Linked DNA regions of Danio rerio. The protein of the gene in region 1 interacts with the protein of each later gene in a pairwise test. Links are inferred from orthologs where the notes say so. Each region holds a gene or a part of one and is shown in the gene's direction. Other genes may lie near its edges. The genes, in order: creb1a, pogzb and crtc1a.

The links.
Region 2: the proteins of creb1a (region 1) and pogzb interact in a two-hybrid assay, tested with the Homo sapiens proteins (2 studies listed by BioGRID and IntAct). The link is inferred for Danio rerio from reciprocal best matches to the Homo sapiens genes CREB1 and POGZ.
Region 3: the proteins of creb1a (region 1) and crtc1a interact in binary tests that used the Homo sapiens proteins (3 or more experiments, as listed by UniProt). The link is inferred for Danio rerio from reciprocal best matches to the Homo sapiens genes CREB1 and CRTC1.

What each region holds. Positions count from the first base shown.
Region 1 is NC_133176.1:37,068,623-37,072,986, reverse strand, and holds the start of creb1a (cyclic AMP-responsive element-binding protein 1a), read left to right. Parts: upstream 1-1,411; 5' UTR 1,412-1,519; intron 1,520-2,838; 5' UTR 2,839-2,847; coding exon 2,848-2,937; intron 2,938-3,091; coding exon 3,092-3,238; intron 3,239-3,447; coding exon 3,448-3,548; intron 3,549-4,364. Other genes in the region: chmp2bb (charged multivesicular body protein 2b), read right to left, coding at 15-106, 525-558.
Region 2 is NC_133191.1:42,522,929-42,527,254, forward strand, and holds the start of pogzb (uncharacterized protein LOC561483), read left to right. Parts: upstream 1-1,379; 5' UTR 1,380-1,440; exon of another isoform or gene 1,441-1,753; intron 1,754-1,929; 5' UTR 1,930-1,995; intron 1,996-2,136; 5' UTR 2,137-2,140; coding exon 2,141-2,246; intron 2,247-2,412; coding exon 2,413-2,529; intron 2,530-3,641; coding exon 3,642-3,814; intron 3,815-3,912; coding exon 3,913-4,012; intron 4,013-4,094; coding exon 4,095-4,326. Other genes in the region: si:dkey-23o4.6 (retinol dehydrogenase 12), read right to left, coding at 134-224. UniProt on the Homo sapiens protein: Plays a role in mitotic cell cycle progression and is involved in kinetochore assembly and mitotic sister chromatid cohesion.
Region 3 is NC_133177.1:27,921,083-27,924,735, reverse strand, and holds part of crtc1a (uncharacterized protein), read left to right. Parts: intron 1-3,248; coding exon 3,249-3,407; intron 3,408-3,653. UniProt on the Homo sapiens protein: Transcriptional coactivator for CREB1 which activates transcription through both consensus and variant cAMP response element (CRE) sites.

The sequences.
Region 1 (4,364 bases):
GTGGGGAATCTCACCAGTTGCTTTTCCTGTTTTTCCAGTGCTGTCCGGTCTCTGGCAATTTGTCTCTGCGTTCCTCGCAGCTCTTTGTTTTGTTCTTTAATGACATCTGTAGAATGAAGGAGACATAGTTATCGATCGCCATATAAATTAATAATGCTAAAATGTCTGAGTCAGTTATAACAAATTAATGTGTTGGAACTACTTTCATAGCAAGGTTCAGAGGAACGATTAACGTAAAGGGACAGTGATTTCTTTTAAGAGCTAACGTTACTGGATTAGTTTATTTTAAACCGACATGCTTAAGTATTATTTGTAAGACACAAGCGAAAGAAGCCAAATGTAAAATGTTTACGTCATGGCAGCAATTCAAAGACACGTCTTTGTACAAACTACAGCCCAAATCGTATTTAATGTATTAAATAAAACGACAGAAATTGCTAACGCAGTCTTTGATAGACGTGAGAGCGTTGCTTGGGCGGCTTTGACAAACAAACAAGCACTCAAAGCGGCGGCAAGAAACTTACCATCTACGGTCTTTTTCTTGAATAACGATGTCATTACTGCAACAAACTCCGCCGACCAAGAAACTAATAAGAAAACTAAGTATATCACAATGACTATTATCAAGTGAGAGTTGGCTATCAAAATATCATGACTATTTCCTGGTTCCTGACAAGAAGGCGGTGAACTTCTGCTCTTCTGCATCAGTTATTCATTTTAATTGGTGAACATTGACGTGACGTTGCATTGAAGCTATCCAGTCGTAACATCACACTGACTGGCACCGCCCATAGATGTCTGCCGCAAAAACAAAGGTCTCTCTGTCGTTCTCGTAACTAAAAACTAAAATAAAAATATCTAAAAATAAGATAAAATGTATATATATAATATACAAATCAATACTTAAAATAATAATAATATTTAAATATTATTTAATGACAAGAAATACATCATAAATTAATAATAATAATACCAATGACAATTATAAATAAATATATACAGGAGTTTTTCTACAAATTTATGTGAAAACAAAAAGAAAACTGTCCTTTAATAAAGTATTAAACAATTACACAATTATATAAAACATTATATAATAATACTATAAATTATCATTTTTCTTCCAATTGTCAAATTTCAGATTCGATGGCTTCTAAAAGGCTGAAAACCCCTGCTGTAGTACATTTGAACAGATTTATTCATATTCATTACGACAAAAGTCAGCCAATCGTAGCGCACGGATTTGACGCATGCTCATGTGAACAGTCACGGAGAGACACCTCGTGTAAATTCGACTCTGCTCGATGGCTGTTCGTGTAGGTTCGTGCTACGTTCGGCAAGTTCCGCCTACCTCTCGGATCTTGTCGATCCTGAATTAGGGCTGTATTTCGTCCCCCTCGTTCTCTGTGTTGTTGTCCTCGGTGACGCGACGGAGGTGTAGCCTGACGCGGTCTCTTACGTGTCGGACTAAATAAAAGTGGAGCTCCGGAGGCCTGGGAGTGACGAGGCGAGTCTGTGTCGGGTAAGAAGAGACGCATTCGTGGGGGAAAGAGATAATACACTTGGCGTTTTAGTGGACATGTCGCAATGCTCGATCCGTCTGTAACAAAGAGATCATGGCGGCGGTGGGCATGTTTCTCCACAGCTCAGACTTGCTTGCAGACAATGAGTCAGGTTGTAGAAGGAGGAAAGCGGGACGGGTCTACAAAATACATGTGTTTATGGGAGAGAGATGCGTAGTTATGAATGTGACCGCCCGTCCATGGCACCTTTTTATGAAAGTCCAGCGCGTGAAATGATTTTTTTTCTTTTTTGGCTCCAGCATTGGTTTGTTGAGCAGTCTAAGCTCTCCGTGATACATTAAAGATCTTTACTGTATTCCCGCCCGAGCAATGGTGTTTTGTACCACATTAAACAGCTATTCTTTATCATAAATTGTGGGTTTTAACTGGTAAATAAAATTATAGAGAAAAAAATGATTCATGAGTATTTTTCCATTCTGAGTGCACCATAAAACAGAGTGATTTTGTGCCGCATGCTTGATTCATTCAACGTGGAGTGCTATTTTACAAGTCGAAACACGCCTAAAAATGCAAGCGCTTGTATTTATTGTGCTGTTTTTTATTTCTCAAATGGCCTTAGATGGAAAATCATGAAAAATAAAATGATTTAGCTTGCACTGTATGCCGATTTTATTTTCCTTTAAGTTACCACGTTCATAAATGCTTAAAAACCAAGACACAGATCTGACTGACAGCTGCATACGGAAGTAAAAAAAAGGCGGCAAATGGAGTCATCTTGTGTTTGTGGCACACTATGATTAAGGTCTCATTTTTAACACGATTACTTGTTACAAAATAGTCACAGCTCCATAAAAGACTAATATTAATGATATTTACTGTTAAATATGCATATTCTTATTTTTGTGCTGAGGCTTGGTGGCTGCTTTTGTTAAAATACATTATAATGCAAATATTTCACTTTAGTAATGCCATTTTTTACGTGAAGAAATATACATTTCTGGAAACATTTCACCCCTTTAAGAATTTAATACATTTAAATTTTATTTTTGGATTTACATTAAATTGACATGTTTAACGTTAAGTATGTTTAAAAAAAATGCATAAATGTATATTTTATATTTAAAATGTTCGTAATGACTTTATATCAAACCCAGTCTGTGGGTAGAAGTTTTTTTTTTTTTTTGCAGTCAACCTTTAAAATAATCGTGGGTGCATAACAATACCCTTTTTTGGGCAGTTTGATAACCTACCCTGTGTATATATTCATTGCATAATTTTCAAAGTATACAAATGAAGGACTCTTGAATTACATCTTCAGGCTATCTAGATGACCATGGAGGCAGGAGCAGATGTCCAGCAGGGCGGCGACACTGCGGTCTCAGAGACAGACACTCAGCAGATTGCCACCTTGGCACAAGTGAGTTTCTGGCATTAAGATGCTTCCAAAGCTTTTGGAAACGTTTGCTAGGATGACAAGACTGATTATGATTACAAGGGTTATGGTTATTATACATGTAGATCCGGGATGATGTTTTTATTTAATTAAACCTTATTGTACCTCCCTGGTGCAGGTTTCCATGGCGGCAGCACAGGCATCAGCAACTGCACCCACAGTGACCTTAGTTCAGCTGCCCAATGGGCAAACAGTGCAAGTTCACGGGGTCATCCAGGCAGCCCAGCCCTCTGTCATACAATCCCCACAGGTGCAAACTGTACAAGTAAGCCAAATTTTGTTATTATTTTAATCACCCTCATCTTGTTCCTAACTCCTTAGACCGTCTTTTATCTTTGGAACACAAATTGAAATATTTTAGTGCAAAGATGGAATTTTCATTTTTAGATGAAATATCTCTTCAAAGTTTAGGATGACAAAGTGTTTACTGATTCAGGTGTATAAAGCATGAATATTTATGCCTTTTTGTATCAGATTTCTACTATTGCTGAGAGTGATGATTCTCAGGAGTCAGTGGACAGTGTGACAGATTCTCAGAAAAGGAGAGAGATTCTGTCTAGACGGCCCTCATACAGGTATCTGCATGTTTCTAAATTTGATGACACATTTATAATCCTGTTTTAACGAAAGCTGCATCTTTTTTTCTGCAAAAATCTGTTTAAAATGAAAAATGAGGACACAAGTGTCTATAAACTTACTATAGCAAGAAAACTGTTTCATATTTTTTAACTTAACATTTATTAAACAGTGCGGAAATATTACAGTAACATTCATTCCTCATTTAATGAATCATAGTAGTTATTTCAAAAATGTTTTCAAATGGTTTGTGTTTTTACCATTTAATTAAGACATTCTTTGAATTTACAATTTACACATGAACAACACTTAAAGTGAAACAGTCGATTTGTTTTACCTTTCATAAAATGTATAAAAGCACATAATCTAAAAACTAATTTTTTAACAGCACACAATTAAAAAAATAATAATTTTATTTAAATATTTAAAACGTATAACTGATTGTTTCTTTTTTACTTAAATAAACGTTTACTTTCTGAAAAAAAGAGAGATGTTTTTAAGTTTGTCAGTCATTCATGTGGTATAAATATATTTTAATATGTATAGCAATTATATAAAATTATTTATTAAAGGTTTTTACACTTGTGTAGCATCAAATGTTTCAGACAGAGAGTATTTTTGACAGCTAAAGGTGATCCATGCATACCCAAGTTCAAAATGACTTGAACATGAAATCACAATAGGGTGGTGCGGTGGCTCATTGGTTGGCACTGTCACCTCACAGCAAGAAAGTTGCTGGTTCGAGCTTTGGCTGGATCAGATGGCATTTCTGTGTGAAGTTTGCATGTTCTCCCCGTGTTCATGTGGGTTTTCTC
Region 2 (4,326 bases), on another chromosome or scaffold:
AAGATTTAATTAATTAATTAACATTTCAGGGCCTTAAATTGTGATGCAGTAGAAGTTTTGGGACCAGACCCATTTTTTATATTAAAATAAGATTATAATAAAACTTCTGAAAGTACTAAAAAACGTTACTCACTGATCACCAGCAGCGCGAGGACAGCGCCATAGTTCACTCCGTCAGATGATGTGCCCGGATCCTTCATCTCGCATGCAGAAGTAAACAACATGAAGAAAACACGCTCACGTTGTGTCCTCTCTGTGCACAATGCTATATATAGGGCTTGACTTAAGCAACTTAAACAGAAGCTTACCTGCTCTGCGCTTCGACTGGTTATGAAACGTTTATTATGAAACGTTTATCTCGGCACAATTAAGAAATGATTAGTTGTCAGATTGTAGCTTAAATTTAGTAGGATATTCAGGGCATATTCTACTTATATAAATGGTAAAACTTCTATTGTGCTGTGGATATTTTGAATTAAAGAATGCAGCTTTAATTTACATTCGATGTCTTTATGATAACTTTCAGACTTTCTGATTCATAATGTACAATTAACTAAAGCAATCGGTTTAAACCAGTCGTTACTTCGACTATATATATATATATATATATATATATATATATATATATATATATATATATATATATATATATATATATATATATATATATATATATATAGTCGAACAAACGATTGTGTGTGTATGGACTGAACTTTTGAATGTTTTTGATTCACTAAAAGAACCGAGTCATAAGAGTCGTTTGATTTTGAATCGGACCAGTGGTCCTGCCTGATTCGTGCTGTGTTCTCGGTTGTTCTGAAAAGTGCGGTGAACTCTGCAGTGTGCTGTTCTGTCCACATTGGCGGATGAACCCGCGTTCAGAGCCATAATGAAACCGGATGTCGTGATCGGTTCCAGAATTTTTTTAAACTGAACGTTTTCTAAAAAATTACACTTATTTCATTTATCAGTGCATTGTGCATACCAGGGCTAAAATATGAATATTTAAGCAAATAATTTTATATAATAGATATTTTGTGTGAGCAATTTTTCAAAATCATAAATTGATTTAAGAAAAGACAGTTTGTGATGGTTTTGACAGGTCCTCCTCAAAATACTAACAGTGTGTTGAATAATTAAATCATTTCTTTATTAAACCAGCAGTTGGCTAGACCGTATAAAATGTTGTCGTTTGTCGAGAAGGACGCCATTTTCTTGTTCCAGTAACCACTCCTCCTTATTTCAGAGATTACAGCCAATCAGCGTTGCGAATTCAAAACAGGAAGTGGCGTTTTGAGCGTATCAACCAATCGCAGCAGGAGAAAAAACAGAACCTCTGCCCATTTAGCGCATTTATTCGTCTCGTCTGTGACGTACCGGCAGGCTTTGTGTTCTTTCAATATATCACGTTGAATATATTTCTATATAGACTATAATCTGGTAAGTATTTTTTTTACAAATACGCGCTTTAATTCACGCGTTAGATGGCCGTCTTTCGTTATGTGCGCGGAGGACAGTATGCGGAGTGCGCACTCAGTAGGCGACGCGCGAGGGGTTGCTGCATTATTTGTGACTGAGTTTTTGTGATAGACACAGCGCTGAGTCCTGTTCCGACCCAGTTTGTATTTCAGCCCTATTTTCTGTTATTGTACACACATCCAAGGCTCATGCTTTTGCTTCTATCAGTCAGATCATCTGGTCTCAGCCAGTGCATATCGGTGACCAGGAACTACTTTTCTCTTCGCCCCTGTCGGTTAGATGAAATCACACTTTTTTGGGAGATTTTTAGGAAGTGATGCGGCAGCGCTCTGAATATCCGATGTTAACCCCATTAATGCAGGATTTTTTTTTGTTTGTTTTAAATGTATATAAATACAAAATGTACTACTATTCATGTTTTATTCATATACTTATTTGTATAATTTACAGGATGAAGGGATTTTGTAAACGCCAGTCTTGACGTTAAAACTGGTCGGACCCGATTCCTGTCAGAAGGTGAGGGTCTTCAGTTCAAAAATATTTTTCACTTGTCTAATTTAAAATGAAACATGTTTTTGATTTATGAATACATAATGCACCAATTGTCATTTGTACCCTCACAGTTTGTAGATTTTAAACACGTTTACTTTCTTTCAGAAACATGGATTCGGATTTGTTTATGGAGTGTGAGGAGGAGGAGCTGGAGCCATGGCAACAGCAGTCTATGGATGAACCAGCCGGAAATGCTGAAAGCAGTACTCCCTCCGGTGTGTATTTTTGTAATATTTTTAATTATAGAGAAATTTAACATAGTTTTTAATTATCTTCTTAACTTTTGTTAATTATAGATATTCCAGAAATATATATATTTTACTTTAATAATAATTTTAACATCATTATAACATCTGAAACTTGTCGTCCTCCAATGTTAAGTCACTTCCACTCCAGCCCCGGTGGTTGATGTTCCAGCTCCGCCTAAGACCATGGTGATCCCAAGCCTAACGTCTGTAGTAAATGCGGCGAACACGGTTCCGCTGATCACAAATACAAGTGAGTCTCCTTTTCTTTAATAATTATTTACTCATTCACATGATGCTCCAGAACACAAATTAAGTTAGGAAGAATCACCTGTTTGTTTAATTTAAGAGAAGCAAACTGGGGATAGAGTTCAGACACTTCAAAATAACAACAAAAAAGACTTGTTTTAAAGAAATGCAAATGACAAAAAAACACAATTCTTTTAATTATGAGTTAAATGAAGAATAAAATTGTTTTTTATGATTTGTGTGCTATATACTCACCTGCCACTTTATTAGGTACACCTTACTAGTACCGAGTTGGACTCCCTTTTGCCCTCAGAACTGCCTTAATCCTTCATGGCATAGATTCATCAAGGTACTGGAAATATTCCTCAGAGATTTTGGTCCATATTGACATGATAACATCACACAGTTGCTGCAGATTTGTCGGCTGCACATTCATGATGCGAATCTCCTGTTCCACCACATCCCAAAGGTGCTCTATTGGATTGAAATCTGGTGACTGTGGAGGCCATTTAAGTACAATGAACTCATTGTTCAAGGATTCAGTTTGAGATGATTCGCGCTTTATGACGTGGCACATTATCCTGCTGGAAGTAGCCACCAGAAGATGGTTGTGTGTGAAAATCCTGGTAGATCAGCAGTTTCTAAAATACTCAGACCAGCCCGTCTGGCACAAACAACCATGACACGTTCAAAGTCACTAAATTCACCTTTTTATTCCCCATTCTGATGCTCGGTTTGAAGTGTAGCAGATCGTCTTGACCATGTCTACATGCCTAAATGCAATGAGTTTCTGCCATGTGATTGGCTGATTAGAAATTTGTGTTATCGAGCAGTTGGACAGATGTACGTAATAAAGTGGCCAGCGAGTGTTTATTGCAATTGTTTTAAAATCATTAAAATCATCAAAATTCGAACTTTTGCAAACCGTTTTCTAATGTTTTCTCATATTTTCTCAAAATTTGTAGCGAATAGAAACTTTTCAGTACATTGTTGTTGTGTAAATATCCTTAGAAGGGGAGCGCAAAAGTCATATCAACTACTAAAGTAGTAGATGGATGCAGTCTTGTTGACATTCAGCCTGCATTACTCTTGGTGATCAGTCATTTATTTTTTCAGTAACTCAACGTGCGGTTGTGCCGACTGAGATCCCTAAAGCAGTGCAAGGGCAGCCGGTCATCTTGGCACCAGGAGGAGGTGGACTGGGCACTGTGGCTCTGTCACAGGTTCTCCTGCCTGGAACATCTATTGCCAATGTTACCAACAGTCAGCCGATCTACTTTACCACACAGGTGCTGCCATTTCACCATATAGATTCCAGCACATCACTCAACAAAAGCACATTGTCTCAACAAGTGTTCATCTATGTGCGTCCTTTCATCTGATACAGGGTCTTCCTGTCCAGAATATCCAGCCTGGCCAGGGTCCAATGAGTTTAGTGCTGAATGTCCAACAAGGCCAAACTGTTCGACCGATTACTCTACTCCAGGGTATGTCAGTGTGCTCTTGTTATGGTCTTACGCTATAGTTCTGTGCATTAATTAACAGTGTTTTCTTTATGTCTTTTTTAAGCACCTGGCACACAAATTTTCAAACCAGCCATCGGAGCAACCCAAATAATTACCCAGCCTGCTCAAATAAGGGCTGGAGCTCCGGTTGTAAACAGAGCCCAAACGCCTAGTACTTTCAGCACAGTGCAGATCCCTGCTACTCTCACTTTTCGAACCACAAACGCGGTCACCCCAACAGCTGCCAGTTCTCTACCCATCGTATCTTCTACAACCATTACTCAGCCTACCAGGAC
Region 3 (3,653 bases), on another chromosome or scaffold:
GATGAGGAGATATATAGAGAGATTGAACTGTATTGGTCTATGGCAGTTCTTAGCTTCCTTTTGTTTGACAAATGATCCAACGGCGTCATAAAAATACTTTAATAAAAATTATTTGAATGTTTTTTTTTTTATGTTGTGAATTGAAGAAGTAGATATTTCAGGTATCTTCAAAGCAGAATCCTTTAATGAGAACTCACAGTTGCTGTGTTGTTGATCAAAAACTTAAACTAGTGCAGCTTTGCACTCAGTTTAAATACATTTTGGGGGGGCAGTGAAACATAGAGGTGGAGTCAAATCTAAACAAAGTATGCAAAGGAAGTACAGGAGTCAGCCAGGTAAACTGCGTTTTTCCAGCTCTAATCTCATCAACAAAATAGTACACATTCAGATGCATAGGTGTTAATCCAGTTAGCCGTTTGAGACCCTGCCCGATAGTCAGGAAATGCTTATTGACAATAGGTTAAAATATACCGGCTAGAGTTTTGAATTAATTTGTATTTCTAAAGAACCAAAGAATATAATTTGTATATAACTTTAGTTATATACAGTTGAAGTCAGAATTATTAGCCCCCTTTGAATTTATTTTTATTTTTTTTTAATTTTCCCAAATTATGTTTAACAGAGCAAGGACATTTTCACAGTATGTTTGATAATATTTTTTCTTCTGGAGAAAGTTTTATTTGATTTATTTTGGTTAGAATAAAAGCAGTTTTCAATTTTTTAAAAAACATTTTAAGGTCGAAATTATTAGCCACTTTAAGCTATTTTTTTTCTGTAGTCCAAACCATCGATATACAATAACTTGCCTAATCACCCTAAACTGCCTAGTTAACCTAATTAACCTAGTTAATCCTTTAAATGTCTCTTTAAGCTGTATAGAAGTGTCATGAAAAATATCTAATAAAATATTATTTACTGTCATCATGGAAATAATAAAATAAGTCCATCATTAGAAATTAGTTATTGAAACTATTATGTTTAGAAATGTGTTGAAAAAATCTTCCCTCCGTTAAACAGAAAATGGGGAAAAAAATAAACAGGGGGTAAATAATTCGGGGGGGGGCTAATAATTCTGACTTCCACTGTACATTATTGTTTATTTGAAACTAGATTATATAGATTTTCATTGTAACACACGGCTGTAATAGCTACAGAACCTGCTAATATAATACTATTGCATATCTGCTTAAAGCCTCAATCACATTAGCAGCAACTTTGTAACTGCCTGTCGCTCTGGGTGGTGACCTGCTGCAAACGCAGGTCTTTGTAGGTCTTCAGCACAGAGAATAATATCGGCCTCTCAGCGAGCTGAGAGAGGATCACATGAGCTCTAATGGTGCTCTCATTGACTGTTGCTCAATGAAAGTTGTTCTTCATTTGCAAAAATGTAAAGAATTCTCAACTTTGTTGCATCGTTCGACACACCCACTTCGTCGCCAACGGTCGCTGACACTAACATGAACAGAGGTCGCTGGAAGTCGCTCACTCTCCATTGAAATAAACGGTTGCTCGCCGCTCATAGTGTGAATGAGGCTTTTGAATACTGCCATAATAGTAAGCTACATCTTATTTTACTTTATTACCTGCATCCACTTTTGTGTCCTTAAACACACATTATTTAGAGTCGACTGCCGCTCACTCGATATTTTCTCTTTTTCGGACTATTCTCTGTAAATCCTAGAGATGGTTGTGCATAAAAATCCCAGTAGATCAGCAGTTTCTAAAATACTCAGACCAGACCGTCTGGCACCAACAACCATGCCAAGTTTAAAGTCACTTAAATCACCTTTGTTCCACATTCTGATAAAGCATAGTTTTAGTTTCTTTTAACTTGTTTACTGTATGTCTTGTTACATAGCAGATTTTAGATCCTGTTCAGTTTTATATTAAAAGTCAGAAATGACAAGGAGGCAGCTTCCTTTAATAGAAAGTCAATGGAGAGGGTTGGATTGTTTTTTCCCCTGATGGGCCTGGCTTTTATGTTAGGAAATGTGTGCATCACAATTGATAGTTTTCAGTCATGTGACCTGTATGGAGACCTGGCGGGCAAAAGACAGTTGGCTGTAATGGCAGCTTCATTGGGATTCCATAGAAACTTTTAGATATTTTTATCTGTTTTAAGCTACGAATATTCGGCTCGCATATTAAGAGAACAAAATAGAGATATGATCACAAACTCTACATTTTGGGCGATCCAAAATGTACCCGCAGCCATTTTCAGTCAATTTAAAATCATCAGAGCTACTATTCAGCAATATCTGTATGTATGTTTTGGATTTTCCTCAGCAATTTAGTCATTGGTGACGGTGTTAAACTTAAATTGCACTTAACCTGCAAGTTAGAATAGAAACTGTTTAAACTGTGTGTTATAAATCTACTGACAGTTATTGGTACCATGCTATGGGTCAATGATGCTACCATTAGGCACAAATCAATAACTTTGCTTAAAAAATGTTCTTTCTATGAAGGAATTTCTGAAGAAGCACAGCCCAGACATGTCTCCTCATCGGTTAGTAATGTTTTATGTTATTGCACTACAATTATTCTGCTTTTTGGGTAAGCACATGATTTTACAGTCAGTGAAAGACAGTATTTTTTGCCCACCAGGGTGGCGTTCCCTTAATTGTGTGACGTCATGTGAAAACTGTCAATAGGAGCCCATTTTCTTTACAATACAATACAATATTTATTTATAGAGCACATTTAAAAATAACCAAGGTGACCAAAGTGCTGTACATAGGAGTGCTAAAAAGCAGAATATAAAATAAGCATTTAACAGATAAGAGCAATAAAACAGTGATCAAGGAGTATTAAAAGCGAGAGAAAATAGATAGGTCTTTAAAACAGACTTAAACACAGAGATGGAGGGGGAAAGTCTAATGTGAATCGGGAGACTGTTCCAGAGTTTAGGACCAGCAACAGCAAACGCTCGATCACCTCATTTTGTTCAAATGTTCTTTGACCATTTTATATCATGACTGCTTATTCGATTCATGTGAAAGTGAGGTTTCCTGTTTTAAAGTAGTCATGCAATCGAAATAAAGCGTTCATGGATAATTTTTAGGAATATCAATTTCATTTGAGTCAATTTTATTTTATTGTACCGAATTAAGAATTATATTGAGAGCTTGTGAATCAGAATCTAATCGAATCGGGTCCTCTGAATCAGTACCCAGCTCTAGTTCCACAAAAGCAGCATTTCTGTCTCAGCTGTTAATAGTCTGTCAATCTGAATCTGTGTTTGACAGGCAGTGACGATAGACGCCATGACCCTGGAGCAGCAGTTGGCTCAGTATGCTTTCTTTAGCCAGCCGTCCACTCAGACACAGGGGGGAGGTGGGCTTCCTCCGTTGCCAGTCGTCTCCTCCAGCCAGACGCAAACCTCTGTGGGCATCGATATCAATACGGTAAGATTACATCTCAACACTTGCAGTGGAATTTTTTAGATCTCGGTATGGCCAACTGTCAGTCAGAGCATACAGGGCACTAAGAGGTTAACTCCTTTTCTAAATGATAACGAATACAATACCAGTCAAATGCTTTGGGATATATGCTTATGTTTTTGGAATTTATTAGAAATGAAATGGGTGATTGTGGGCAGTGTTGGGTGAGTTACTTCCAAAATGTAATTTATTAATTTGTGTTCTAGTTGT